Linked DNA regions of Notamacropus eugenii. The protein of the gene in region 4 interacts with the protein of the main gene of each other region in a biochemical or structural test. Links are inferred from orthologs where the notes say so. Each region holds a gene or a part of one and is shown on either strand. Other genes may lie near its edges.

Region 1 (7,600 bases), on a different chromosome or scaffold from region 4:
CTGGGCCAACCCCGCCCCTTAGGCGGCTAACTCGGCCTCCAGTGCCCCGCCCACCACCCTCCATGAGGCCACGCCTCCATCCCCATTCGCTCCCACGGCCTCACCCCCACCATCCCCCGTTCCAACCCCGCCCCGCCCATCTCGGCCAATAAGCAAGGGCTGGTGGCCGGTCCGACTCCGCCCCCGGCGTGCCCGAGTTGCCCAATTAGGGCCGCCCGGAGGGTTTAACTGCTTCGCGTCCGGGTCTCTGGCCAAAGTCAACCGCCCCCTCCCCCACGGCCCCGCCCCCGTGCTCGCGCCCCCAACCTCCGTGGGCCCCGCCCGCCAGCCTGCCAAGCCGCTCTAGTCGTCGCCGGTTACCATGGCAACGGCGCCAGCGCAGGGAAATAGGAGGTGGAACTAGGAGGTGGAAGGGGGAGGCAAGTGGGTTGGGGGCGGGGGCGGGAGAGACAGACAAGACAGACAGACAGACAGACAGACAGACTAGGAGATAGAAACAAGAGATGGAAACCGGCGTCAGGGTAAATAGACTATGGGAGAGAACCAGAGGTAAAGGCCTCCACAGGGCGAGGAGCCAGTGTACTCAGCACAAGCCGAAGAGTGCTGGGACACAGCGTCCCCTGCCGGCCTCCCCTGTTCTACCCCGGAGCCCGTGGACTGGCCGGGACTACGACTCCCGACAGGGCCCAGGGCGACAGTTCTAGTGTACTTAGGGGCCTTCTACCCCAGGGACTCATGGGAGTTGGAGTCCCACCTTCACCAGCGCTGAAAAGTTTTCGAGGCAAAGAAATCTCCTGTTTTCCCCTGAGCCACCTATGTGTCCAATCTCCCTTCCTCCTCTCTGTAGGGACCCTATGGCACCAACGTTCTTGGCTGTTGGCTCAGTTCTAGATCAGAATAAAGGGAGGCTGTTTCCCTGGACTTAGTGAACATCTTACAAGCCCAGGTTTCCTCCTCTTTCTTCTCTCATGCCTATTTTCCCATGCTCTCAGAAAGGGTTTGTACCCAACACCTCAATATAGATCTTTCCTTTTGCCTGTATCTATAGGAAACATCACCAAGGGAGGCATAGGGGGAGGGAAAGAGGGGAAGGGGAGGGGGAGAGAAGGAAGCATGTCCTCAAGTGTCCCTTGTTTGCTCAGGCCTTTCCCTCCTGTGTCCCCAAAGTGCTGGCCCTGGGAAAGGGCAGAGGGGGGAAAGGGGGAAGACTGAGAGACACAGAAGGGAGAATATGGCAGGAGAAACATGAGAACAAGATGAGGGGAGGTGGGGGGGACATCAAGGACATAAAACATGGCCCTGAGACACAAAGACAAACAGAAAAAAAAAGTGGCAGAAACAGGAAAACAATGAATCCAGGATAAGATCCCCAGAGAAAGGCCCCCAAAAAATATGTGGGGGGAAAGGTAAAGGTGTGAGGTGGGATAGCAGATGCTAAGACTAAGAGGCATCCAGGCTTGGTTTCCATGAAGTCCTTCCCATATCCTGTATCTTCCTGAGGCCCAACTCTATGCCAGCATGTGCACATGAACATCCATGTGCATATGGTGGGATATGTGAGTAGCCTTCCCCCTAGATGCTGTAGCTCCCACTAAATATAACCCCTTCCCCATCCTATGACTCACCCAGACCCTGCTTCCCCCAGCCAACACTTCCTGTCCCTCCTATTCCCCACCCTCCCAGCCAGCTACCTGCCTAACCCTCTACAGAGGCATCTAACCCCCAAATCTCAGATTCTCCCATGAGGAAGCCAGGTGTCCTTCCCCCACCACCACCACCCAGGCCATTCTGCCTTTCACAGACTGGCCCCTCCACATTCAGCTTTCTCTCTGACTCCCCCAGTTTCCCCCACCGCCCCCAGTCCCCTTCTATTCTACTACTCCCCCTCATTCTGCCTACCTTCAGTTTGCCTCCATCCCAAGCCCCATTCAACTCCTTAAGGCCTAGATCCTTTCCTTGGTCTGGGGGGGGGGGGGGTCACCCTCCAAATCCAGGGTGTCCTTCACATCCCTCCCCCTTAAGAGCCTGGTTGAGCAGGTCTGGAGTTTGTCTTTCCATCTGCTTTTCTCTCCCCTCTCTCTCCTGCTGGGGACAGGAGTGAGAGCTAGAGCAAAGTGAATGGGCAAAGGCAAAGGAGGAGTGAGAACACCTGCTTGAGGGTCTCCCAAATTCATCACCCGCATGATGCCCCAAATCAGCCAATTCCTGTAAGCCCATCTCAGATTCTTAGATTTCTCCTTGTCCTAGAGTTGGGGACCCAGTGAGATAGCACCCCAAATCTTAACCTCCTCTAGATTGGTTCTTTAAAATGGTTCCCAGTCTCAGGCCTTGACCCACTGAACCTTTACTACTCCCAGTCACCCTCATACTGAGTGATCCCCCAAAATAAGTATGGCCTCAAATTGTGGTAATATTCTTCCAATGAGCTTTAAGCAATTCCCCCAAACCCAAGAGTATCTCTCGAGGCCTCTCATTCTCCCCCAAAATTGACCTAGAGTCCCTAAAATCAAGCCTGCCTTCTCCCACCCTGAAGACCCCTCCACCCCTAAAACATGAACTTCTCTTCCAGTATGAGCCAGGCTTCCCCCAAGATAAGCATCCCCCATGTCCCCCGCAAATTCCAAACTGCCAGGCTCCCCCCAAGCCACAGAACCCCCCCCACATTTGTGCTCCATATAGACACTTGGGGAATCACTCCAGGGTGCCCCATGGCTGCCTCCAGTCTTCCCTGCATTATCTATATGCCTGTGTTTCCCCAATCCGGGGAGACAAATCCTAAGCACCCTACTTCTACTGATCTTTCCCTAATGGACCCTAGGCTCCAGATAAGGCCTACCTGGTACCTCTCTACAAACTCTGTTCCCCTTAGATATCAGCCTTTTGACACCCCTTTCTCCACACCCCCCCAATATCCTGCTTACCTTGGTTGTCACGATACAGAGACAGTCCATGTTTGGGGGGCTGGACGCTGTGGCGTGTGGGGGGCTCTGACTTCATTAGGATCTCATTCCCCCTTCAGCCAACTCTCCCCCCTCCCCCCTCCGTACCCCACTTTTTTTGGGGGGGCGGGTGGGGGGAGGGGTGAGGAGGGGAGGAAGGGAGAGGGAGAAGAGAAAGAGAGGGGAAGCGTGGGAGGGAGGGGAAGAGGGGCCCCAAAAGGTGGTCCCCCGAATAGAAGGCAGAGAGCTTGGGGGGTACCCACCCCAATCTCAGGAAGGGTGGGGGCGCAAGGGGCTTGAAGCCCCAGGGGCCGGAGGCTGAGACATGAGCTGGGGTGGGAGGGGGAGGGGAAGAAGGGGTGGGAGAAGCTGGGATGGGGGGGGTCTTGAGAGAGAGGCTAGGGAGGGTCTCTCTTGGCAGCTGGGAAAGGGGGAATGGGAAGGGGGGGTTGGAGGCGGCAGCCACGGCCAAGGGAGCAAGGAGCTGAGAAGGGAAGGCGAGAGAGGAGAGAGGAAGAGGGGGGAGGAAGGGAGGGAGGGAGCAAGGGATGGGGGGGGAAGCAAGGGAGGTTAACTCCTTCAGTGCTTGGGGGAGCCCGGATACACGGGGATGAGGATGGAGATGAAGGAGGAGATGAAGGCAGAGTCACAGACACACACATACGGATGAGGACAAAGAGAGAAACATACACAGGTCACAGCCAGAAAAACAGGCACAGTCAGAGTCACGGAGACGCAAGAAGAAAGGCATAGAGATGTTGAGAGAAAAGGATGAAGGCAGAGGAAAGAAAAATAAAGTAACTGACTGGATTTCTTGGCAGGGGCAATGGTATGGTGGGGAGCACCTGTGAGTGGGAGGGGACCCTGAAATATTCTTGAGGCAAAAGGGGGGAGGAGGAGAGGGAGATAAAGAGGGATTAGGAGCAGGATTCTGAGTCCCTGGCTGCCTGCACTGGGGGAACTGATGGCCTTGGCTTCCCTTTGGGGTGGTTTTGAGGAGGCAGGGAGGAAATGTGGCTATAACCAGGACTCTGTAGGGCCAGAAATGTGACAAGCAGAAAGACTAAGGGAGGAATGTAAGAGGAAAATATTGTAGGATGGAACCCAGATATTCAGCCAATGGCATCTCTGGCTTCAGGACGCAGGGCTTTGCACTCCTACCCTAGAACTGAAGTTTCTTGCTCCAGTTTCATTCCAATATTTCTTTTCCTTCTGTTGCCACACCCAACTTCCCTCACAAACAGATTTCCCTTAAGGATAAAGGTATTGAGACCCTTGCCCCAAGGCCCTTACCAGATGATCACAGACAGCAGCTTCATAATAATCCAGGATATCTATGAGGAACAAGTGGGAGTTGCCCAGTCATCTAGTTCTACGTGCCCTGGCTTTCCTTAGATACTATTCTGAATAGCACCACCGCTATCACCCCTTCCCCCTAATCAACCCTCCCAGGGATCCAGTAGTTTCAGTCCCTCTTCTACTTACCCAGCAGAGCCTGGAAGAGGTCACTGTGCAGCACTGCAAGGAGATGAGGTGCCCACTGCAAGAGTGGGGGAGCCAGAAGCCAAAGGGCCGATCTAGGGACTGGAGAGATGAAGACAGGATTATTGGGGTGGAAACACCGAGAAAGACACCTAGAGAAATACATGCACATCTCTTCCCAATCCTTCTCTACCCCTCTGTCCCTCTCACCCCAGTCATCGATAGAGGAATCCCATGTTCCAAGCTTCTACAGACCCTTAGAACTCCAAAACCTCCCCTCCAGAACCCCTGTCTCTAACCTCCTGGTTCCCTTGGCATCTCTCTCTGTCATTTTAATCTCCCTAATCCATCAGGATTTGAGTTAAGCCCCCTTCTCCACCCGCCCAGATTGTTAAGTAATGTAATTTCTCTTTCCCAGATCCTTAGGCATCCCAGCTCCCTTGTTAGAAGTGCTCTCTCAGTCTACTGAGCCCCCACCAGGTATATTTATGACATTATGGATGTCCCCCTTAGTGGGGAAAAGAAGAGAAGGTAAAAGGTAGGTCCTCTCTGGAGGAGGCTGCAACAGAAAGAACAAGGAATGAGGATCACTTTGCCCCTTAGACCTGACTCATGTGGAGATACAGCAAAAGAGATTCAGATTAGATTCAGGAAAGACATTCATTTAGGGCTGGAAGAAAATGGGTTGCGCGGTGAGGAGAAGATGTTGCTTATGGGAACTTCCTAATACTGTCTTCTCATTTCCATCTCCAGTTCCCATGATTGGTCTGTCTCTGTAGAAAAGATGATCTCCACAGTTGGACTAAGAAGACCCTAGAAATCCCTAAGATGATAGATATGTGCAGAGCTTTTGTGGTAGCCATGCTGAAATGACCTCTTGCCTTCCTTTTAACCCAAAGAGTTTTAGATGGCAATTCTAAAAGTCATAGGGACTTCTTATGTCTGAAGGGGGTGGTATGTGAGAAGGAGGTATTTGGAGCCTGTACACATACATACTTATAATTCTACTAATTCCCACTATGTGTGTGTGTGAGTGTGTCTGTCTGTCTGTCTGTCTGTCTGTGAATGGGGTGGCTTCAAGACACAAGACTGAATATAAAACACATCTGACCAAGCCTCTCAGACAAGAAAACTCTCAGCCTAGATTTTCTCTTTTTATCTCCAACCAACTAGAATATCCTCTCTCAGGTCTAAACTATATCCCTCTAAATTTAGCTTTTTTTCCTTCTCTCCAGCCCCATCTCATCATCTCCTGACCTTGCAAGACATAGATCGAGGCCTTAATGGAAAGCTGAGAGAAGGGGACCAAGGGGTACACTTGAATCCACTATTAAGGCAAGAAGAGCCCAGGGGGAATGGGGAGAGGATCTAAGAACCACACATCCCAGCATGCCTTGGGTGCAATAAACCCCACCTCCCTTCCCCAGTTGTATTCTGGGTGATGAGTCAGGGGTAGGGCAGGGCAGGAGCTGGGCAAATCTATGTATCGGGAGAGGGAGGAGAAGTGGAAGGTCAAAGTCAAGAGAGGAGTTCTTTGAGAGGCACAGGCCAGGCAGAACATCAAGATGCAGGCTGTGGGGATGGTCCACAGAGTGGGGCTCCAGATGCTGAGGCAGGGGAGGGCCAGGTGAGTGATGAGAGAGAAGGGGTCTGAGGAAGGTGGGGCAGGAACCCCTGGTTCTGAGGCACTGCGGGGGAGGGCAGTGTGGAGTTAGCATGGGACAGAGTGACAGTTGGGAATTTGGGGGGGGGGTAGTGTGAAGGGGTGCCAAAGCTAATCGCCCTGCACCCTTGCCCAGCCCCCAGAGCTGTTCACTTTTGGGCATGAAGGCTGCTCGTCACTACACCGACAGGGCCACAGAGGTAAGGTTGGAGAGCCTGCTTGGCCAGGCTGGGCTGGGGTGAGGTTGGGGACTCCCCCTGGCTGCCTGTTGACATCAAACTGTTCTTCCAAGTCACCTGCTTCTCTATGTGGCCCTGAAATTGGGGGAAAGGTCACGGGGAAGAAATTAGGTTAAAGGTTACAGAACGTACATTGCCCCACCTATCCCTTCTTAGAAACTCCCCTCCCTGCCCCTGGAACCCTCTCATCTTGTAGTTCTCCCTGCACAGGGACACAGAAAGAGAGTCAGAAGGACCCTGAGAGGCCATAGCTTCCTTGTTCCCTACAGCTCCCAGTGTTTTCTTCATCCTTCCCTTCTCCATAGGTGGTATTGGACAAAACAGGTTCAGGTTCCTCAATAGCCTCAGCAGAGGACAAAGGTAGCCCCAGTGTGGTGGTAGGTACCACCTGAGTTGAGTGATGGAGGGGGAGTGGGGCTACTAATGGGGGAATATTTCCCCTTCCATTCAACTTCCTGACATATCCCCTCTCTTCCTGTCCTAGGAGTCCAAGTCATTTGCTGTCGGGATGTTTAAAGGACAACTTACGACAGAGCAGGTGTTTCCATTCCCTTCAGGTAGACTGTATTCCTCTGATAGGTGGCAGGTAGAGGAAGAAGGTCAGCTTTCTTAGGGTGATATCCAATCTAACTGATCTCCTGATCCTTATAGTGCTGAAGGAGGAGCAGATGCAGTTTCTGAAAGAGCTGGTGGGGCCTGTGTCTCGATTCTTTGAGGTGAGGGCTGTGGATGGGGGTGACTAGATGGTGGGGAGGGTGGTTGCCATCATGTTTTTATTAGTGATTTACACAAGGCTTACCAAATTTGTGGATAAGTTGAATCAGGGAGGTGCAGCTAACATACTGAGTAACAAAATGAGGATCCAAAAAGTTCCCAATAGGCTGGAAAGAGGGACTAAATCTAGGATGACATTTGATAGAGGAAATTGTTATGTCCCACAGTTGGGTTCAAAGAGTCAGCTTCATGAGGATAGAATGAAGAGAAACATGGCCAGAAACAGTTTGTATGAAAAGATCTGAAGGCTTTAGTTAACTCAGTCCTAGTTACCAGGGGAAATATGGAGGCCTAAATCAAATCTGATCCTAAGATAGAAGAGTAGGAAACATAGCATCTAGAACCAGGGAGGCCCTGCTATGTTCTACCCTAAGTCAGTCAACATCTGGAATTTAATATTTAGTTCTAGATGCTGTGTTTTAGGAAGGACATTAACAAGTTGGAGTAAAACCAGAAGGTGGTGAGTGGGGGGATTTGAGAGGACAGGACAGGAAGCCACATCA
Region 2 (7,451 bases), on a different chromosome or scaffold from region 4:
TTCAGTTTCTTCTGCTGTCAAATGAGGATAATAATATATGCCTTGTTCAGCTCCATTTTAAGGTGTATCAAAAAAGATAAATCAAAGAACTTTGAAAAGGGCAAAGAACTATACAAAGGCAAGATTTTATCCACTAGTCAGTAAAGAGCTAAATTTTGGTAAATTACATTAGATGTTCATGTCATTATCTACCCCTAAAATGCCTTTGTTACTCAATTCATATGCCATAACTCTATGAAGCCTTCTTTGAATATCCAATGCCTAACTGGGTTCTTAACCATTTTAGGGTCATAGGTCTGGTGAAACCTATTAAAATGCACAAATTGAGAAACATAAGATTACAAAAGAAACCAATTATACTGAAATGCAGTTATCAAAATACTTTTTAAAGAAGTTCCCATGCCCCAGGTGAACCACCCCCCGCCACGCACATAAGTATTTGTATATGTTTCATATCCCCAAATGGAATATAAGCAATATGAAAGGAGAGCATGTTCTAATTAATCCATTTGGCCTAACAGCTAGCAGAGTGCTTCACACATCTTTCTTTTTGGGGAGAGGGGGTGTTGCCCCTGCTGGGAGTGGTAATCATCTACCCAATGTCTAATGTTCATGACAGCTATTCTTCAAAGTATGACTTTATTTCAAACACATGAAATGTATCCTCAACGTGGAACATATTCATGAAAGTAATACTTTGTTTCTATACCATTCAGTATGAGAATTTACTTTTAGTGGACAGAGAATGAAGTTATATATGGGTATCTCTTAGAGATATGTCATACACTTTACCTCTGGTCTTTAAAATATAAAGTTCTTTCATTTCTATTCCAAATGGCTATGGGGACATTTAAAGAAATTAGAAACCATATCTTCCAGGGACTGGATTGTCAGATATTCTAGTTCTAGAATCTCTGTAGAGGTGAACGCATATAAAAATGGACCCATCTTCACTTTAGTCCCTTTCATTTCGCTCTCATTGTCATCACTCTCACTGAGGTCCTCATCTATTTTCACCTGTTCTTATTCCTTCATTTTCTAATCCATCTTTCACAAAGATGCCCAAAACAATCTTCCTAAAATACAAGCAAAACTTGTTACCCTCCCCAGCTAAAGAAGTTTCTTCAGTGGGTTCCCTATTTCCTACAGGATGAAATATAGCATTCATTAACCCAGAATGGGCCTCCACAACTTGATTCCACCCTTATTCCTGCTGCTTGGCACCCTCTACTCCAGCCAAAGTAGATGTCTAGCTGTTCTCTGAACTAGACTTGCCATCTCCACTGAATTCACAGAAACTTTCCTTCATCTCCAGACTTCACATTTTCTTCCTTTAAAATCCTTGTCTTCTTTCAAAAAAGCTCAGCTCAGGAGTCCTCTCCATCATGAAGGCTGTTTCCCTGACCCCACCTGAGTGTTCTCACTTTCCTCAAATTTTCCTTGAGCCCTTTCATCTCCCCTATGCTTACTTTACTTGTGTTATGTCCATCTATATACTGTCTATGTTGCATTTTCCTCCTTGAGAGAACTTCATCTCCTTGAAAGTGGGAACCATTTCTTTTTTTCCTTCTTTCTTTTTTAATTTTTGTAGCTTCAATGCCTGGCAACATAGTGTGTTTAATAAATGCTGAACTGGACTGAACATCAGACATGTATTCTGTCTTGTTAGAAGATTTATGCAGTGGGAAGAGTCTTTCATTTGGTATGACAGAACCCAGGTTCAAATCCCAGCTCAGCTGTATGACCTGTGGGTAATTAACTTAAATTCTTTTAGCCTCAGTTTACTCATCTGGTTTTAAAAAGATGGTGGCAGGGAAAGGGAGAAGTGGGAGAAAATGAACTCTAAGAGACCTTGGAAAACTAACTCCTAGCATCACAAAATCTTGTTGGTCATTAATAAAATATTTAAATAATTAATTTAAAGGTACCCTAAGCAAAAAAGAAAAAAAAAAAGAAAACCTGGTAATTATTGTTCAGTCCTGTTTGACTCTGCCTGACCCTGTGGACAGAGTTTTCCTGGCAAAGATACTGAAGGGATTTGCCATTTCCTTCTCCAATGGATAAGGCAAACAGAAGACTTGCCTCCAGTTACATAGGTAGCATATGTTTAAGACAGGATTTGAACTCAGATCTATCCCTACTACTGGTCCCACTGAGCCACCTAGTTGCCTCAGTTTTAGGAAGAGGTTTATTTCATGGTAAGTTTTATTTTTCAACTTACCTTTTTGAATTCCAAACACAGTTTAACACACCTTGACATGGTATGGAAACAGAACACTAGTTCTAACTTGTCGCTAATTTCTGGAACCGTTTTCTCAAAAAAAAAAAAAGTGAATGGGACAGTAGAAGTAACTACTTCATTCTCCTACCAGAGTTTCTGGAAGTCACTGAAAACCAAGCTAATGAGAGGTTGAAACACTACTTACAAAAACATTTATTACCTAGACCAAATGAACTCTTGATACCAATAATTTCCTCGGAGAAGAAGAGAAAAAGAGCCTGAAAAAGTATTATGGTCAATCCCGGATCTTTTTAGTCTATATCCCCATAACACTCCTAAACCACAAAACCCAAAAATCTCCAAAAAAGTGAAATGAAATGCAGATCACAAAAGCTGAGTATGGCCAATAACTCTGCTTGCGTGACCTATGCCCTGACAGGCCTGGGAGTTCCCAGCATTTGGATCTCGGTTTCAGGGGGTTACCTGGACTCCACCCAGGGCATTAGACAGGTGTCAGGTGTGTTCCGGGGTTTCCCAGGCACAAAGGCAGCGTGAGGAGTCAGGAGGAGGGACCCCTTCCCTGTTCCTGCTCCACAGCCCCCCGGAGTGGTGCCCCCTCCAAAGGCCGGCTTTACCTTCTCCTTGGCTTTGAGGTAGCGCTGGAGAGCCTGCTGCGTGAGGTCTCGGACACGGAGCTGCCCGTCCTTGCACGGAACCACGATCCCCATCCTCCCGAAACAGACGGTCACTTTCATCCTCGCCCAGCGGTCACCAGCGCAGGACAGCCCGGCAACCGGAACAACAGTGCAGGGCGGGCGGGAGGGGAGCGGGGTTGCCCGGACTCCGGGGGCCCGGGCTAACGCCGGAGGTCAAGGGGATCGGGAGCGGGGCGGCGCTGGAACAGGTGTGTCCGCCCCGTCCCTGGTGGCACGCCCACCTGGGGGTGCGCGGGGCTCCCCGCCCTCCTCGCGTCCCGCGGGGGGCTTGGGCACGTGGGGCCGAGGAGCGCGGCACCCCGGGGCAGGGGAGGTGGCCGCGCGAAGGGGCTGCCCCCGGGCTGGCACGGCGCTGCGCTCCGGGGCGCCCGGCTCCGCTCCGGCCGGCGCTCAGGTGAAGCGCAGGCCGAGCCGCTCGGGGACGCCGAGCCGCCGCCGCCGGCTCCTCCTCCTCATGTCCCGGCCCCGTGAAACCGAAACTCCCGGCCCCGAGCAGGCCCCCCTGGCCGCGGGGGCCGCGCCGATGCCCGAGGGGGTCGTGCCCCGGAGTTAGGAGGGGGCGGGAAAACTTTTGTGGCCCAGGTCCCGAAGTCGTCCCTCCTCCTCCTCCTCCTCCTCCTCCTCCCGCTCCGCTGCCGCCGCCGCGCTCCGCGCACTCCCCGCTCCCCGCAGCCCCGGGGGCCAGGCCTTACCCCGGCTCTTAAAGGGGCCGCGGCGCTTCCCCCGGCTCCTTCGCGGGCCTCGCCCCGCTGCACCGCGGCGCGGGCTTGGAGGTGCGGGGCTGGTAACCCGAGCCCGAGAGCTGCCTACACCCCGAGGGACGCGGACACGCAGCAGCCCAGGGGACTGGTAACGGGAGCCCAGGCTTCCACCCCTGGGAACTGAAACCGGATCTCTTCAGTACACTTAGGGGAATGGGAGCAAGAGGGCAAAGCTGCATCTCTCTCTCTCTCTCTCTCTCTCTCTCTCTCTCTCTCTCTCTCTCTCTCTCTCTCTCTCTCTCTCTCTCTCTCTCTCTCTCTGTGTCTCTGTGTCTCTCTCTGTCTCTCTGTCTCTCTCTGTCTCTCTCTGTCTCTCTCTCTCTCTCTCTCTCTCTCTCTCTCACACACACACACACACACACACACACACACGCCCCTTTGAAAGGAGTTCACATGGAACAGGTGCTTCTGGCCTTACTCAAATAAATAGCCCAGACATCAAGGACCATACCTGTATTGAGGTCCTATTAAGAGACCATACTCACAGTCCCACCATAATAGGAGTAACACTGACATAGAATCACAGGATTTTTTTTTTTTAATTTAATAAGGACCTTAGAAGTCATCTAGTCAAGGATTTGTACCCTTTTTTGGTTAACATGGACCAATAGTAGTCTGGTGAAGCCTATGGATCTCTTCTGGAATAAAGTGCTTAAATCCACAAAATAGAATACAGAGGATTGCCAAGGAAATCAAAAGTTAATGAAAATAAAGTTGTAATTGTTTTCCCACCCAAGTTCACAAACCTCTCTGCAAATCTATCCATGGTTATTTTACTCCTGCTCTAGTCTTAATTTCTTCACTTTACAAGTAAGAAAACTGCAGCATAGAGGGGAGATAATTTGAAAAGATAACAACAGCGGTTACCCTTGATTTTAACCCAAAAGCTTTGTTCAAGGTCACACTGCTAGTTAGGGCAGAATCAAGATGTGCCATACACATAGAAAGGGAAGAAACCATGAATTCCTTAGTAGAAGGAACTGTTCTCCAGGGAAATTACAGATTGGTATCTCTATGATTTAGCAGATTAGTCCTAGTGACTAATTAGTGCTAGAGTCAGAGAGCAGGTGAATGACTTGCACAAGGGTCCAGCAGCTAGTCATTATCTAAAATTGAATTTGAACTTAAGCCTTCCTGATTCCAAGTCCAGTTCCCTACTAAAACATGGTCTTCTGAACCCAGTGTATTCCACTGACATCTAACTTGGGAAACTAATTTAAAAAAAAGACTTTTAGAAGAATGATTCCCAAAGCATATATTCTTCACCATTGAAAACTGGATAACTGAAAAATACCTAATCAGCAAAAAACTTAGGAACAGAAAATATTTCTCTGTAAAATGATTTGCTCCTACTGTCAGATATACCCATAAACTATTTGCATTGAGTGAACAGTCTAAGACAGATGTACAAGTGATTAGATAATAGCTCTGAAACCTTTTCAGCTTGACTTTTGAAATTTCATTATTTTGGAGAAGCCTTAATCACCTAACTTGATTTTGCATTCTTTTTTTTTTTCCATTATTTATTGAAGACCTGCTGTGGGACTACCACTGTGTAAGATCTATAGGGGATACAAAGAGTTCCTAACATAGTCTCATATCATGGGTTACAGAGTTGGATGGCATCTTAGCTTCCAAGTGACTTAGTATCAAGTCTAGCCATTCTTGAAGGTGTTTTTAATTGTGAAAATAGATTAAACTACACATACACACACATACACACATATATGTGTATATATATATACATATGTGTATATATGCACATATATGCATGTATATGTATACACACTGCCTTTTACACATAATAAGAAAGTATTTTACAATTATTCTAGTCTAAAGCCTTTGGACTAATTTGAAAGAGAACCCTTATTTTAACTACCAATTCTGAAATACTGTCCAGCACTAAAATCTTTCTCAATCACTCTTATCAAAGGCTGAACCATCTAATTACTCACTCCAGGCCCCTTTTTCCTTATGAGCCTAGGAAGGACTCTTCTACAAGATGATCAGAGGAATTATCAGACCAAGAGAAGGAAGAAGGCTTTGATTACTTCTATTAACAGAGGTATATCTTGAAATCATCTTTAAACAGCTGGAAAAAAAGAATCCTGAAAGTAATGGTTCATGGTTCTCAAAGTGTGGTCTGAAGGACACTTTCAGAGGGTTCATGAGATCCAAATTATTTTCATAATATTAGTAAGACACTTCAGTTTCTTTTTCTTCTTCTGTTCATCCTTTCCATGGGAGGGAAGAGCTTTCTTTACAAAAAAGATTTGAAATAAGAACATGGAAATGAACAAGAGTCCTTGGAATTGTGAGGGATCTGGAACCTAGGAGCCAAAAGCAGGGTTCAGGTTAGGGAGAAAGATTAAATATCCACAGATTAAGTCATCTAAACAAAAGGTCTTGTGGGGAAGTTTTGAATAATTTTAAGAGAATAAAAGGGTCCTGAAACAAAAATCGAAAACTACCGCCTAAAAGTGGGTGGTCAAATAGGATGAGTGATTTTAAGAAAATGATCCTCCAAAAGTGTATAGAAAGTTAAGTGGCTCACTCCACTTTGCCTGGTTTAACTGCATCAAACAAAATGGAAAAAGGTGCCTTCACTCCTGGTGCCCCAGCCTCCACCTTTGTGTGTAGTCTACTCCTATAATATCATAAGCTCCTTAAGAGCAGGAACCGTCTGTCTTTTTATTAATTATATCCTCAGCGTTTGGCACAATGCCTGACACATAGTAGGTGCTTCTTAAATGTTTATTGGATTGAATTGGATTGATGATTGTTCTGCTTAATGAGGTAAAATGAAAATGTCAAGTGATCTTTTACTTTGAGGTCTGTAACTGCACTTGATCATATTGAAAAATTTTCTTTGTTCAGGAATATTATGAATTTTAACTCAAAAATAGCTTGTCAGAGAAAGACTGTTAGCAGGAATCAGCCTGTCTTTGGTCTTGTCTCTTGTTCAAAAGAAATGCTTAGATTAGAATAATCTAAATTAATTAAAATTGTTTGTGGCAGGCTGATGTCTAAAATAACAAGTACAAAAATTTCTTACACATAAACTAGTTAGGGGAGAAAAGACATCAAGATGAAAAGCTAAATGCTATGTAACTATGCAAGCAATATGTTAAGTGTAGAAAATATGTTAAGTGTGTACTGAGTCAGACAGGCCATGAGTCTAGAGAAGGGGAAAGTGACCACTCACTGAAGTGATCAGAGGATGTGATGTTCAGTAAGAAGTAGATAATAATCATAATTATAAGTAAATTGAACAATAATAAGTAAAATGCAGATAGAGAAGAGCTAGGAGAAACAACAAAGGGAAAGCCTCCATAATTTTATACCCTTTGTTCCATATGTATATGTGTGTATGTGTATATATGTGTATATATGTGTATATATTTTACCACTATACTGTTCCAACTTTATCAGTTCTTCTCTTCTCCCCTTTACAATCACCTCCTGCTTCCTTCATTTCCACAAAGTCTCTCAAGTTCCTGCTTAACTACTCCCTTGCAACACATATTCCCAGAGCGTCTCAGACCCCAGAATAAATAATGGAAAATATCCAAAATTCTCTGTATTACCCTCTGTGAAAATTGGATTAGGTTCCTAAGGGAGATGGTGATATCATTGAGATTACAGAACATATTAAGTAACACATTAATGAATTAAGTAATTATGTTAATCACTGAGTGATCTTATATGACCCCAAATTAGTAATTTTGGAAAGATTTCAGAGTTTATAGTTTG
Region 3 (7,950 bases), on a different chromosome or scaffold from region 4:
GGAATGCCTAGGCTTATCTTCTGACTACTTTCTTGGAATTTTTGAGTGTTGTGTGTTATTCCAGGATTTCAGGGACAGCCAAAGCTAGGGCCCTGTAAGCTTTCAGTGTTCCCAAAGTGATCTGCTCCAGGACAAAGTCTGAATATGGACCCTTGTTCTGAGCTTTGCCAAGTTCCTGACCTGGGTTTGATTCTGAACATCACTCTTGTGGGCTTGTCCCACTTGAAGTTCCAGTAGACTGCTACTGGACTCAGCTACTATCAATTGGAAAGCTCAGCTGGATCAATGACAGAACAAAAGGAGTCCTTTTGGTCTAAAATTCCTGCCTTGTTAATTCGTCTGAAGGCTTTAGCGTGGCCTAGAAACTGGAACTGACACCCTACTCCACTTCTAGGGTCTATGTCCCATAACTACTGCTTGCTTCTTGCTTGATGCACAGTGTGGAAAAGGTTTTGTTATATTGTTTGAAAAACTTATTAACTAGAAAGTATTTGAAATCAGCAACTAATGTGTTGCCTTGACCTCAGTAACTCTCCAGGAATGTCAAGGAAGAGCTATAAGGGACTTTGTGTTTTTCCAGGTCCTGTTTTGGGTCTTCACACCTAGATCTTGTTTGGGGTCCATCCAGGCTTGTGTTTTGGTTTTGTCTAAATTTTATTGAACATTTACATTTACTCATATCCATTTCAACCTACCTTGCTTTTAAGCTGCTCTCTCAGTAAAATTGCTTAATTGCCTATGTGGGGTTTGTATGTGGGTACCCTAATCTAAACCCTATATAATGTAAGCCTTCTAGTGCCTGGGGAGAGGGAACCACACCTCCTTTCTGACTTGCTCTCCTCTACCAAGTAACATAATAAATTTCTTTTTAATGCTCATTTATATTTTGGATTTGCTTTTTCAAATAACAACAGCTTGGGGCTCTTGACCCCTCCTCACCCTGGAATGCCAAACCTGGTTGAAAGTAACCTCTTAAATCCTCCTTGGATCTGTGACCTGGAACTAGGTAGTACATGATAGTTGTCAGTTGGCACCTGTTCTTGTGCCCAATATAGGATTAGGGTCCTCTGTACTAGATCTGCCATCTCTTGCAGTATTGTATGGCCTCTCCCTGAGACAGAATGCTTTGTGTGGTATGCTATTATCGGCCAGACCCAACAACCCTGGGAAATAGATACTATTATCAGCCCCATTTTACAGGTGGGGAAAGTGAGGCAGACACAGGTCAACTGACATGCCCAGGGTTAGATGGTAAACATCTGTGTCCACAAACCTCTCTTTATTTCTCCTTTTGTTGACCTGGTGATTCACGGTGATTTTTTTTTTTAATTTCTGGATCAAGATTTGGTCTGGTGCATTTTCTAGAACTATTGCTTCCAGGATCAAATATAAAAATCTTCTGTTTTGACTTTTAAAGCCCTCTATAACCTGGCCCCATTCTACATTTCTAGTCTTCTTGCTTCTTTCTCTTCCCTTTCCCTCACATGTAGTGTGAGTGTAGGAGTACAGGGTGACTAGTACCTTTGGTGTGAGGGCTTGCTGAGTCCTTTTCAGGGCTGCTCATCCACCTTCGGTTCTACCTGCCACCCATCTCTCACCTATGACTCCAAGAAGCTGTGGCATGCACATCAGCCACATCCTGGTGAAACCATCTTGGCAGATGGGTTAAATTAAACCAGGTTGAGGGTAACTGATGTGCCTCAAATCTGTCAGTGGGTTAGAGGGGTATCTACCTCAAGCATGTGAAGACTTCCCTGGTGGAATAGGTGGATGTGAAAATATTTGTTCCAGTGCCCATGGACGCAGTGGAAGCAGGTGCTTGTAGAGACTTAAGAGCTTGGTTAGACAATGAAGAAGCAAGGGTCATCCACTTCATCCCAAGTCATCCCCAATTATCTTGATTTTGCCTTGCCACTGGACTCTGATGACTCTGGAAGAGAGCAGCCAACAACTTTGGTGCAACTTTGTGTCACTTAAATTCAGTTCACACATGTGCTAAAAGACATCACCCATACCATTTCATCATTTTTACCTACCTCAAAATTCTGTGGCAATGGGCAAGTGATGAAGCAGTAGGTGCAGATACTCTGGGAGTTGTAGTCATAACCCTGCATGCAGGTGGCTCAGGCCATAGGCTCATCTTCCCACAATGGACTGAGGCAACTGTGGAATCATCAGCCCCCCTGGGCCGATGTACTTCTCACCTCTTGGCATGAGGAAAGGGTTAGAAAAGGTCCCTTAAAAATTGTTGGCTTCACCTCACTTATGGGGATCCTACTCTGCGGCCAAAAACGTCTTCATTCTGAATGTTCGTACAATTTATGTCAAACCTGTGGTAGACCTTCTGAGCTCCTCTTGATCTGATCAGCCACAGTTGGACGTTATACATTGACCCTGACATAATAATGTCACATTGGTCCTCTTTGACTAGGAAGGACAATGACCAACCCAACAACCCCATGTATTCTGCAACCCAATGTCACTGGCCTTCTTGCTATTTATTCCTTCCTCTAGATCCTCTATCTCCTGACTCTGGGTATTAATGTCTCCAATGCCTGGAACTTGCTCCCTCCTTATTTCTGCCTCCTAATTTCCCTGGCCTACTTCAGGTCTCAGTTAAAATCTCACTTCTGAAAGAATCCTTTCTTGTGTCCTTCATTCCCCATCTCCTAGAGTCTTCCCTCTTTTGATTATTTCTGCTTTATCTTGTCTTTATCTTGTTTGTGCAGAGTTGTCTTCTACCTTTTGTATCTCCTGTGTCTAGCATAGTGCTTGGTACAGAGCAGGCGCTTAATCAGTGCTTGTTGTTGTTGTGTTTATCCTTTGTTTTTGAAGAAGACCAGGACCTCAGAGAAATGATGGCATGACTTGCATTTGCCTTTGTTTTGAATGAGGGAGGGCTGTGTAAGGTCACCAGCCTCACTTTCTCCTCCTCCAATGCTTGTTGACTGATTGGATGAGTGATGGGGTGTGTGTTCGTGCCTGCTATTTCTTCCTGCTACTCCACCATCTTGGTTCTGTCTTGTGCACATCAGATTTGAGTCTGACACTAAGCCAAGAGGTGGTGGTTGATACACAGGGTGAGAGAGAACAGTCAAGATCCAAAAGGATCTTGGCAGGCCAAAGCATGGGGCTGAGTCTTATAATATGCAACCCCATAGGGATAAATGTCATGTATTACAGCACAAAAATATGAACTTCACAAGTTAATATGGGGTGTGTGTGTGAATAGATAGCAATTCTGAAAGAGATTTGGGGATTTTAGTGGACTTCAAGCTCAATGTGAGTCAGGAGCGGGGATGGAACATCCACAATAGCTAATAGGATCCTGGGCTGCATTCAGAAGTGCAAAAGTTCCAGGAATAGGGAGGGCATGGTCCTACATTTGTGGGATGCCACATTTTTTAAGAACATTGACAAGTCTGACAATTCAGAGGAGGGCAACAGGATGGTACAGTCCACATCCCCCAAGGATCACTTGAAGATTTGGCACACTTAGGTGGGAGAAGAGAAGACTTGGGTGCCCTCACCCAATACATGACCTCATAGTTGTCTTCAAGCATGGGAAGTGATGGTGTGTGCAACAGGGACTAGATGTTCCGTTTGGCTCCAGAGAGCAGAACCCAGAGCACTGTGGGATAGTCAGTTTAGGCTCAAGGTCAGGAAAAATTTCCTAAACATTACATAGAGCTTTTGGGGAAGTGGCAGACTCCCCTCCGTGGAGGGCTTTGAGCAGACAGCCACTCACTGAGGTGAGTGGGTGGGAGGGCCTTTGTACACGGCCCCCTCCAGTTCTGACCTTCTGTGATTCTGAGGTCTTCCCACGACCCCCAGAGCGCCTCATTCTGTCATATTCCCCCTGCCACGGGTAGTTACTTTGTTTCAAGGTCTTTGCTACCCACAGGGTAGCAATGTGGCATCTGTGTGACTCACTTCCCTTCCGTAACTTAGTGCGGGAGGGCACCTGGGAGATAGAGCATGACATCCTGCCACAAGCTCTAAAGAGCCAGCCTGGCAGTGCCAAGCTGGGCCTCAGGACAGGCTGGTGACCCCACCACCTCCGCCCTTCCTCCCTCCTTCCTTGGATTTTCCCTTTCATGCCTTCTTTGCTCACATCTCCCCCTTAGTCTGGGGGCTCAGGCTTTCCTTCAGAGGGCCCCCCAGGGGGATCATCTCTGTTCTGTCCCTTCCAGGCCATGGGCAGGCCCCTTCCCCTCTCTGGATCTCACATCGGGGGTGGCTTTAAGCATCTTTCCAGCTCAGAGCGGCCAGTCCTGGAACACCCAGACACACACTTCAGGGGGTCGCGCTGACCCTCCCCTCCTAAGCCTTCCGTGCTTCCGTGTTCACGAACGGCCCCATCCCACCCAGTCAGAGGGAAAAATCAGGGAGGGCTTTCGGGGGTCAGCCACGGCCTACCCAAGGGGCCCTGTTCGGCTCGAGCCCAAGTGAACCAGGGCCAGGTAAGGTGGGGGGTGGGGGCGCCAGGTGCACGCTCCCCAGGTAGATACTCGGTACTCACGAGCCCAGCGCGTGGCCAAGGGAGGAAGCCAGTAGAGTGAAAGGCGTGCTAGCCGGCAATGCGCATGCGCAGGACGGGCGGGGCCTTACGGGAGTGGGTGGAATCTTAGCTTGAGTAAGCGTGTCCCGGGGGCGAGGCCCCGAGTGCCGGGGGCGGAGCTGGGCCCGTGCGCGTGCGCCAGCCACGGCGGAGCTGGGGCATAATAAGGCGGGGCCTGAGGGGCAGGGCGGGGTCTGCGCTGGCGCGCGTGCTCGGGGCGGGGCGACTCGGGGCGGGGCCTTTGGGGCTGGGTGGGGGTTTGCACCCTGCGCCTGCGTATGAGAGGTCCTTGGGCGGGTACGGGGAGGGGCCTGCGGATCTGGGGGCGGAGCTCCCGGGCCCGGCGCCGGTTGGGAGGGAGGCAGGCAGCCGAGAAAGCGCCGCGGTTGGAGAGCCTGCGGGAGGCGGTGCTCGCGCCCGCGTCCGTGCCCGCGCCCCGTCCCGGGGGCTGCAGGTCCGCGGGACCGGGAGGAGAAGAAGAAGAAGGAGGAGGAGGACGAGGAGGAGGAGGAGGAGGGAGAGGAGCCAGGCGCCCCGAGCGCCTCCGCCCGCCCGCCCGTGGGCCGGCCCGCACCCCGGCGCGGCCATGGTGGGGGGGCCCGTGGGCCCGGGGCTGTTTCTGCCTCCGCCGCTGCGGGCCGGGCTCGGGGCCGGGCTCGGGGCCGGGGTCGGGGGGCCGCTTGCCCAGCAGCCGACTCTGCTGCCATGAAGCGCCTTCGTGCCCGGGACAAGCCCGCGGCCCCCGGGCCGGCCCGCGCCGAGGGGGGGACCCCCAGGGCGCCCGGGGGCAAGGCCCCCCCTGAACCGCGAGCCGCCGGCTCGGACCCCGTAGCCCCCGCGCCTCAGGAGCAGGTAGGACTGAGGCCCGGCCGGGTCAGGCCAGGAGGCGGGGTGGGGGTTGGGGGAGCAGAGTCAGGGACTGGGGGAGGCAGGGGGAGAGGGCCTGCGGTGCCGGGGAGAAGGGGGGGAGGGGCTGGGGCAGTCAGGGACAGGGGGCAGGGGCTGGAGGGTGCAGGGGAGAGGGCATGAGGTTGGGGGGCAAGGGATTGGGGAGACAGGGAGAATGGAGCAGGGAAGGGTGACGGATGGGTGACTCTAGAGGGGAAGGGGGGCTGGGGCCTAGGGGATGAGGAAATAAATGCAGCTTGGTGCCCTCCTGGCGGCGGGAATGACATTGATAAGCTGGGCTGCGCTGGGGGTGGGTGCTGGAGCCCAGATGATGGGGGAGCAAGTTTGGTGTTGGGCGTGAATGAGCCCAGGTGAGTTTGGAGAGAGCTGTGGAGCTTTGGAGAGACCTGCTTCACACTGAGTTGGGTGGGACACAGGGGCTCTGAATAAATTTTCCTTTCTTCGAGGCAGACCCCAAACCAACTGCCAGGCCTCCCCACATTGCCCCTTTGGGTTCTCCTCTCAGGTCAGTAGTTGCTATGGAAGAGCTTCCAAGCTCCACAGCCCTCTGCAGCAGCATTGACCCCAAATGGTGCAGTGCCCATTATAAAGGCCATTCTCAAGGAGACCTGCACAGGCCCCTTTCTTACCTTCAGAAAGCTTATAGTCTATGAGCATGACACATACCATACAATACACATATTACCCTCACTTATAAATGAACCATAAAGTGTTGAGGTCTGGTATCCATGGGACTCTGGGGCATTAAGGCTGACAGGGGAGTTTGAATTCTGTGAGGTGGTAGAAAGAGGAAAGAAGGATATCTTAGAGGTGGAAGGGACTGCAGCCACCCCTGCCAGAATCATCCAACTGGTTTTCCTGGACAACAGACTGAATATTTCTGCTGCCTCGCTAGGCTACTTCCCATGGTTGGCCAGCTCAGCCACATTGTTAAGAGATGGTCCCTTCTGAGCTGAGCTTTCCTTCTCTGAGGACTGCCCATTGCTCCTAGTTAGTCAGTATTTATTAAGGGCCTGCTATGTGCTAGGTACCCTGCTAAGAGATAGGGAGATAAAAATAAGGCCTTCCCCCTGCTCCTTTTCCCCCAGGGCAATTCTCCAGGTATGTGAGATCTCTGGATGCCCTTCTTTGATGCCATTATCATTCAGTACCCTCCTCAGTTATGGCACCTCAGCAAGGTAGAGATTAGCAGGAGCCCCTTGGCTTTCTCCTTCTGAATGTTAGGGTTCTATTCATCTTTGAGAAGTGGCCAAGCCCTTTCCCCTGTTAGTGGTTTAGGATCTGTGGAGCTGGAAGGAACCTTTAGAGACCATCAAGTCCCAGCTTCATTTTACCGATTAAGAAACTGAACCCCAGAGAGGTCACATCAGTATCTGGGATTTGAGCCCAGGGTCTCTGACTCCACTGATAGCATTTTCTTCCCTGGTTTTCTCCCAGTTGTGACAAGGAAAAGACTTTGCAAATCTCCCTTTTTTGGTCCTGTGGCTTCATCTAAAAGTAAGGAGCTCCTGGGGAGGGCTTATCTTTAACTTTCCCTCTCAGTAGACCTTCAGAGCTCCTGGAGCCCATCTATGGTAATGGCTGGCCTTAGCTAAAGTGCTACTTCAGTGTCAATGATGATTACTTATGGGAATGGGCAGAATCTTGACACATCTTGTAATCATGACTATCCTTGGCTCAGAGGTGATATGTCCTTTCCTACAACCCAGCCCTGGACTGTTATCACCATATAGAATGGAAGCTGCTTGAAGGGCAGCTCTTGGGTCTCTGTAGTGCTTTGAAGTCCTGTGATACTTGACTCTGGGTTCAGTATCTTTCTTGGTAACTCACTATTGTGCTTCTGTCAGAGCAGGAAGAGACCTCAAAGGTCATTTAGTCCAACCTTCTGGAGCCCAGGGAGGGAGAGGAAGGGTCTTGGCCAGAGTCATGAAGATGACCAAGGTGCCCATTCCAAAGCCAGTGGCTGCTCCCTGGTCCTGCATCTCTTTTGCTGACAAAGTAGTTTGGATGTTAGAGTGGGGGTGGACTGGGACTAAGGGTTCTTGGGAAAAGATGGAAGGAGGGGAGGTTAAGGTCTGGCCTGAGTCACACTTCTTGTGGAGGTTAAGGTCAGGCTTTCAGCAGCTCCCATGGATGGTGGAGGCCGTGTTGATGGCATTCAATACTGGTCCTGGCTGTTTCTCTGACCAGATCTTCTCAGGGTTTCTCAGCTCCAGGCTTTTCCCCTGATTGTCCCCCGGATCTGCAATGCTGTCTCTTACCTCTGCTTCCTGACTTCCACGATTGTGTTCAAGTCTCAGCTAACATCCTATCTTCTAAGGAAGCCTCTTAATACTAGTTCCTCTCCTTTCTTAATTAATTAAGAAGCCTGTATATGGCTTTTTTGTACATAATTGTTTAAATGTTGTCTCCCCTGTTAGATTGCGAGCTCCTGAAGGGCAGGAACTGTCTTTTGTCCCTTTTTGTATTTCCAGGGCTTC
Region 4 (7,014 bases):
AGCCACCCGCCCGCCCCACAGCTCCTGTTACCCAAACAATAACATGCACTCAGTCGTCTGGCACCTTCTATGGAGTCAGTGAGCCCACTTCGGGAGGTAGGGGAAGGAGGGCCAGGATGGGTGCCTTTGTCCCAAGGCCGGCCCCATATCTGACTGGGATGGCCATCCCTAATGCTCCTGAGAGAAGGTGAGAAGAGGGGTCCTGGCCTTGGCTGATAAGACCCCAACCCTCTCAAAAGAAACAGAAACAGAAGCAGAGTGACTGGCTGAAGATTACCTTGTGCATTAAAGAGAAAGTGAGAAAGAGAACCCAAGTTATAAAACTGTTGATAATAAAACTGGCAGGGCTCAAGCCCTTGATTCTATACAGGGGGAAAGCAAAGCCCAGAAAAATGACTTGGTAGTGGAATCACAGACTGAGATCAGCAAGAGGCCCTGGAAGTCACCTAGTCCAATGCCCTCATTTTATAGATGAGGAAGCAGGATTTGAATGAAGGTCCTTTGTTATATTCATCACCCCTCAATAGCGAGATAATCTAGTTATTGGCAGAGTTGGCATTAGGACCCAAGTCTCCTAACTCACTGTAGGGCTATCTCCTAGCTCCCCCCACCAATTCTACATGAATTCTCCACTCCGCCTTTTCCCTACCACCACTCAATGTATGGGGATGCAGGGAGAGAGTCCCTGCACCCAAAGGGATGGCTAACTCTGCCACCATTTTGCCCATGTTACTCCCCTTTCAAAGCAAGCCATCCCCAAGTTGGGACCTTAACGTGGAGTTTCTGGCAAGAGCTTGATCTCTGAGCAAGATTCCTTAAAGAAGTTAGAGTGGGGGATGGGGGTGGAAAGCTTGAGCCCTGTGCTGAGACCAGGAGCCCTTCCCTGCCAGCACAACCTCAAGGCTAGACACTGTGCCATCTCCCCCTCTTAGCCAGTCCTTGTCCTTCCCCTGTCCCTGAAAGTGAATGTAAAGGGCTTCCCTTTATATATGTCAGGACTCCTGGGTCCCTTAGGAGAAGTACAAAGATCAATCCGAGGCAGGAACCTTATCCATCTCCCTTGGCCTGGCGTGCCCCACCCTGGCACCTCTGCTCCCTGGGACCTGTTCCCCTCCCCCCAGCATGGTGAGAGAAAGGAGCAGAAACAAGGCCAGCCCCAGCTCCTCACCTCTCCTCAGGAGCCGGTGAGTCAGCGGGACGGTGATACTGGGCCTGTAAAACTTCATGGCAAGAATCCCAGGACAATTTACTTCAAATTGCTCCTTCAGGGCTGTTACCTAATCCCCCTACAAGGCCCACCCCCAAATCTCTTGCCACCCCCTTTAAAGGCCCAGCAGCAGCCAGCCACACTGGGGGCCAAGGGACCCCTCTGGATGACCTGGGGGGGGGCACTCAGCACTTCCCTCAGGCCTAGACCTGAACTCGAAGAACTAGGGATCATACCTGCTAAGGTGCCCACTGAAGTACATGCAGGGATAGGCAGGTGATCTGGGCCCCTGGGCCCTACGTGCCAGGGCAGCAGCCAGGAGGATATCTCTTCCTGCTCCGCTCTTTTGGGAATTAGGGCCCAGGGCCTGTTCACCCAGCTTCCCCAGAGCATCAAGCTTGGTGGTGATCCAGTTCTTAGCCTGAGCCCAGCTAGGCAACAGTACCTGGGGACTAAGGCTTTGGTGCCCAAGTCCTCTCCAAGTTGGGCTAACCTCTAGCAGAAGGACTGGGACAAAAGCTGCCTCTTAAGTTGGGAAGAGGGGAAGGAGAGATACCCCAGGAAAGCCTGCCTTTTTTCCAGAAACAGGAGGGAGGGGTAGAAGCCAATACTGTGCCCTCAGGTAAGGGTGGTGGTGGTAGTAGAAAGGCTATATTCCTAGTTCTGGACCTAAGATCTTATGTTTTACTAGCCCTGGGTGTTCTTCTCCTCAGCCCTCACTTACCCCAGCCCTAGAGAAGCACAGATCGTGTCCAAATTGAGCTCTCAAAAGTCACCTTAAAGGGGCCCAAGGACTTCATCTCCCCTACTCTGGAAGATAGAGTAAGTTGGAGGTAAAACTTAGAAACAAGGTGCCCTCCTCCCTGAGGTGACAGGTCTCTAAATCTGGCCCCTGCAGGGAGGATCATAGGAACCACTGGCCGGAAACAGGCACTGGCAATGTTCCTGGGACCCATAAGGACATCCCCTGGTTCAGGGGGGACTTAATTGGAGCAGCCTTGCCAAGAGGAGTAGCCTGATATGGCAGAGATCAGGCGCCTCCCCAGGATGGGGAGAACAAGCCCTTGGGCGGCCAGCTGCAGCCGGGAACGAGTAGAATAGAGACCTGTTTGGGAACAGGCTAAAGCCAGAAGAGTAAAACTACTGGATCGACGGTTCCATAGCTCATGCCAGCACTCTGGCATCCGGGCATTCCTACTCCTACCTGGTGGTACTGGGGGAGTTCAGGAGAGCTCCTGCTGGAGCGACGCCCCCCTCCCCCAAAGTGTGTGAGTATGAGGGGTGGGGCAGGTCTCCCAGGACTCGATCAGCTCTCTCACAGCCCTCCCCTCCCCAACACACATAGAAGGCTCAAACTCCAGCTCTGGGCACCCCTTCTCCTCTCTTCCCTCACCTGGCCCCAGGGAGCCGCCCAGACGGACTCTCCCCTGGACTCTCTGGCCGGGGGAGCCGCACGGGATGGAGGGGCGTGTCTTAAGGGCAGATTTCTCCCCTTAGCTCTGGGTTTCTCCGGGAGAGGGCAGCTCCGGGTGGCTCGTGAGGTGCGGAGGGAAGAGCGATGCTGCTTGAGTGGGGGGTCGGGGGGAGGGGTCAGGGGGAGATCCAGCTGTTCCTCCCCCTGCCCCAGCTGCAGCGCCGTCTTTGTCTGCCCCTGGCTGGGGGCTCCCATTGTAGCCTGCCCAGCCCAGGCCGGATCCCGGGAGGTCCCGCCCGCCGCAGCCCCGGGACACAAGAGTCCGGGACACCCAGCCCCGCTCACCTCGGGATCCAGTGGAAGCAGCTCGGTGAGCGGCCAGGGCTCCCCGAGCTGGGCGAGCGGCATCGTGCCGGCGGCCCTCCGGGCTGGCGCGGCTCCGGTTCCGGCTCCCGCGCCCCGCGCCCCGAGCCCAGTACCCCACGCACCGCTCCTGCACTTCTTACTCCCTCCGTCCGCGCTGCCCCAGGGGGCGGGGCGCCGCCGCCGCCGCCGGACCCGCCGCTCCATTGGCTACCTGCGGCCGCGGGGAGCTTGGGCCACGCCCTCGCCCCTCCCCCTCCGCCGCTTCCCCCCATCCCCACCCGGGCGCCGCATTCCCGGAGTGATCTTCCCCTCCCACTCCCATGCACGTTCCCGGTCCCTCTCGGCCCTGGCCCCTGCTCCTTTGGGGGTCCCCAGATCGCTCTCCTCCTTCACCACCACAGCCCCATTAACCCTTGCACTGCCCCGCCTCTGGGGCCATTCTCTCCCCTCCCCCCTTCAGCATATCTGGGGAGCTTCTGTTCCAGATGTGGACGCTTTTGTCCAAGGGCCCCCCATCAAAAAGCTCTCAGGCCAAGAGTGAGGTTGGGGAACCCAGATAAGAGTCTGAGACTGGGATCTTGGGTGTCATCCCTCCTTTCACCCATCCTGTCCCTGAAGTGACTCCTTTCCTCGGAGAGGGGTCCACAAGTTGTCCTGTTCAGAGAAGTCTGTGGCCTCTGTGGTAGAGGAGCAGTAGGGATTCAGGGTTCACCCCTGCCCCCACCCTCCCTACTAGTCCTGGTATATAATCTCTCCTGGGGGACAATCCTTCCCCTACTCCCCTGGTAAAAAATTGGCAAGACCTGCATCTTTCCTCAAGACTGGGTGAGGTGGAGGATGAGAGAGAGTGGGTACTTATTCCAAGTCTTAAAACATCCCACCATTAAAACATAGCCTGTTAGAATTGGATGGGATCTTAGAACAAAGAATGTCCAAGCTATAGGGGACATTATTAGAACATGGAACTTTCCAGCAGGAAAGAACTTTAGAACATAAAAGAGTACCAAAGACAGGGTCATTAATGAGCACAAAGAATACTTGACCTGGAAGGTACCTTAATTGAAAGTTAAAGTGGACAGAGTCCCTTTAAAGTCCCTGTCAGGTACTGGTTTTGGAGTCAAAGACCTGAAGTCCAATTACAACTCTACTTTGGACAAGTCATTTGACCTCTTTGGTTTTCATTTCCTCATTCGTAAAATGAAGAGGGTCGAGCCCCCTTTGACTCTAAACCTACTCCCTTCTGGAATGTGAGAGCAGGAATTAGAACCCTAGCACACACATAGAAGGTCAGAAAGGAGAGTGGTAATGCTAAGCCATCCTCTGACCCTGTATATTGCACATAGAATACCATTTACAAATGTCTAGCTGAATTAAAGGGATCTTAAAATCTGGACCCTGACAAGGGCAGGAAGAGACCTTTGAAATGAGCTAACCCAACATCTTACAGATGAAACTGAAGAGAGTTGAAACAATTTGATCAAGGTCATACAACAAGGCAAGAAAAGGGGTGGGACTAGAATCCAGATCCCTGGATTCCCTGTCCAGTATCCTCACTGCTCATTATATCCTATCACACTCAGTTCCAAAAGCCAGAGAGAAAAGTTAGCTCTTAGTCATCTTCCCAGGAGCCTCCTCCCCTCCCAGAAACAATGTGTTGTCTTCTCACAGTGATGGCCTCAGATGTATTTTTTTTTTAAGCTACAGGAAACTGTGATTTCTCTTTGTGACTTAGAAGATTCATTTGAGGAGGGGACAGTGAGGATTCTGGTCTTAGCCTGGCAACAAAATGACAGCACTTTCGATTCTGACATTCTGTGTTCTAACGATCTGTATTCTAAGTGTCCTCTGAGTCTGACATATTTCTCTTCTAAAATCTCTTCCAGCTCTGGTTCTAGGTTCTAAAGTCCCTTCTAGCTTTGGCCTTCTATATTCTAACATTCTATGTTCCAAGGGTCCCTTTAGTTCTGATATGTTATGTTCTAAGGTCTCTCCCTTCATGAAGATTTTATGTTCCATTGTCTAGGTTCAGAGTTCCCTGTAAACTTGGATATACCATATTCTGAAGTCCATTCCTCAGGGTTGACGTTCAATTCTAAGAGCCCCTCTAATTCTAGAATCATTAGGGCATAATGGATAGAGTTCTGGACTTTGGAAGCCCTGCATCCAAATCTTGTCTCAGATACTGGGCAACCGTGGGTAAGTCGTTTCCTCATCTGAGGATCAGGTCTGATAATGTCTGCCAAACACTATATACATATCAGCTTTTATTATCTTCTATGGTTGCTTCCAAATTATTATTCTGTATTCTAAGGTCCCTTCCAGCTTTGACATTCTGTGTTCCAAAGTTGTTTCTAGCTCTGACAGTCTATGTTCTAGGATCTCTTCCAGCTCTGAAAGTCTGTGTTCTAAAGTTCCTTCTAGCTTTGACAATCTGTGTTCTAAAATCCCTGTCAGGTATGACATTCTAGAATTCTCCTTTTCATCCTCCTCTTCCTTCTCCTTCATCTCCTCCCCCTCCTTCTTGTTGATGAGATGAGGGGAGAATAGGGACTTTTAGTTCTTTCAGCTAGCTCCCCTTGCAATATCTCTGTGCTGGTTGGTCTCCGACAAGCATCTGGGACCATGATTGCTTCTGCTCATGGCACACCAAGTTACTTTGGGAAGTCCCTGATTAGAGTCTACTTGGCTTGACTTTAAGGGAAGAGGCCATGTTGCTGAGGGTAAGGAAAAAGGGAAGGATGGAGCCTCTTTGTGGGATCATCCTGGCTTTCTCCTAAAATGATCTTGAAGCAGCCATTTATCCCCTAGTTAGGATAAGACATATGTAATCTTAGGGTCAAGGCAGTTTCCCTGATAAAAGGATATGGGTACTATTTCTAGGGGTTTTCCAAATGTAATTTCTCTGGCTTATATCCCCTTCAAAGAAATCCTGAAAATGTCAGTCTCTGGCTCATTTTGATTTCCCCCAAAGGCCCTTAGCTCCTCTGAAAGCACTTAGGCTAACAACATCAAATACTGAAAAGATTTTATTTTTACATCAAAAATACAGAAAGAGCTAATACCTGCCCTCATAAATAAGCAAACATCTCTCTCGGGGGAAAGAATTTGAGGATGCTAGGGAATCTTTCTTCCCACCTACCCCCAAATTTATATAGTTCAGATGATTGGAATAGATCTGGATTGTTCCCCAAGTGCACATTTTCTTGCCTATGCTACTCTTTCTACCCTGGTTCTCCGCCACACTGCTTTCATCCAGGGTTCATCCCTTCAGGGTCTGAGGGATGCAATACCCTACAGGACTCACTCTCCCCATGTGACTCCATCAGGGTCTCAGGGTCTCAGTCACATACTGGCTCCTCAAGGCCCATGGCTGTCTGTAGGGGACACCTAGATGTGCAGGATTTTCAGCAGGTCTCCATGCAACCCTGGTATCTCCAGCTCTCCTCCTCAGGGTCCATGTATTCCCTCTTATATCTGGAACCAGCTCCTGGGAATCCCCTATGAATGAATTGAAAGGGAGAGGGAAAGACTTACCTCCAAACCTGTATACATACATTCTCCTCAAGCCAGGAGAAGTACTACTGGATTTGGAATCAGAGAACACAAGTTCTAATTATGACTTTGCTACTTACTACCTGTAGGACTTTAAGCAACCTGCTCATCCCCTGTGAGTCTTAAGTTTGAGGAGGAATGGAAGCCAACAAGAGGAAAGGAAGATCAGGTCATTGATGGAAGAAGCAACTGGAGAGGCTGATGGATGAAACTGACAAATGCCAGTCTTTGGGATATAAAGTGCAAATGAGCACATGGAGAGGAAAGGGAGCATGAGCAGACTTCCACCCCACAAAAGGGGCAAAGAAGCTGCCATCTTTTCCTTCCTCCATCTGGCCCAAAGGTTAATAGAATCCTGTGGTGTAGCGTTTAGAGTGTTAGACTTGGAAGCAAAGCCGGTTCAAAATACCAACTCTACTATGCACCAAGCACTAACATTCTACTCCCTTCACCCCTCACACCTCCCTTCAATTAT

The links.
Region 1: the proteins of RPS6KA1 (region 4) and DLG4 interact in a test that uses a peptide from one of them, tested with the Homo sapiens proteins (2 studies listed by BioGRID and IntAct). The link is inferred for Notamacropus eugenii from reciprocal best matches to the Homo sapiens genes RPS6KA1 and DLG4.
Region 2: the proteins of RPS6KA1 (region 4) and PARD3B interact in a test that uses a peptide from one of them, tested with the Homo sapiens proteins (2 studies listed by BioGRID and IntAct, with this or other methods). The link is inferred for Notamacropus eugenii from reciprocal best matches to the Homo sapiens genes RPS6KA1 and PARD3B.
Region 3: the proteins of RPS6KA1 (region 4) and MAST2 interact in a test that uses a peptide from one of them, tested with the Homo sapiens proteins (2 studies listed by BioGRID and IntAct, with this or other methods). The link is inferred for Notamacropus eugenii from reciprocal best matches to the Homo sapiens genes RPS6KA1 and MAST2.

What each region holds. Positions count from the first base shown.
Region 1 is NC_092873.1:78,849,549-78,857,148, reverse strand, and holds the start of DLG4 (disks large homolog 4), read right to left. Parts: upstream 3,075-7,600; 5' UTR 2,952-3,074; coding exon 2,922-2,951; intron 1-2,921. Other genes in the region: ACADVL (very long-chain specific acyl-CoA dehydrogenase, mitochondrial), read left to right, coding at 5,987-6,048, 6,221-6,284, 6,629-6,700, 6,808-6,880, 6,975-7,039. UniProt on the Homo sapiens protein: Postsynaptic scaffolding protein that plays a critical role in synaptogenesis and synaptic plasticity by providing a platform for the postsynaptic clustering of crucial synaptic proteins.
Region 2 is NC_092877.1:301,094,052-301,101,502, reverse strand, and holds the start of PARD3B (partitioning defective 3 homolog B), read right to left. Parts: upstream 3,124-7,451; 5' UTR 2,977-3,123; coding exon 2,857-2,976; intron 2,851-2,856; exon of another isoform or gene 2,705-2,850; intron 1-2,704. UniProt on the Homo sapiens protein: Putative adapter protein involved in asymmetrical cell division and cell polarization processes. May play a role in the formation of epithelial tight junctions.
Region 3 is NC_092873.1:506,910,474-506,918,423, forward strand, and holds the start of MAST2 (microtubule-associated serine/threonine-protein kinase 2), read left to right. Parts: upstream 1-4,867; 5' UTR 4,868-5,266; coding exon 5,267-5,413; intron 5,414-7,950. UniProt on the Homo sapiens protein: Appears to link the dystrophin/utrophin network with microtubule filaments via the syntrophins. Phosphorylation of DMD or UTRN may modulate their affinities for associated proteins. Functions in a multi-protein complex in spermatid maturation.
Region 4 is NC_092876.1:67,582,692-67,589,705, reverse strand, and holds the start of RPS6KA1 (ribosomal protein S6 kinase alpha-1), read right to left. Parts: upstream 3,130-7,014; 5' UTR 3,030-3,129; coding exon 2,967-3,029; intron 1-2,966. UniProt on the Homo sapiens protein: Serine/threonine-protein kinase that acts downstream of ERK (MAPK1/ERK2 and MAPK3/ERK1) signaling and mediates mitogenic and stress-induced activation of the transcription factors CREB1, ETV1/ER81 and NR4A1/NUR77, regulates translation through RPS6 and EIF4B phosphorylation, and mediates cellular proliferation, survival, and differentiation by modulating mTOR signaling and repressing pro-apoptotic function of BAD and DAPK1.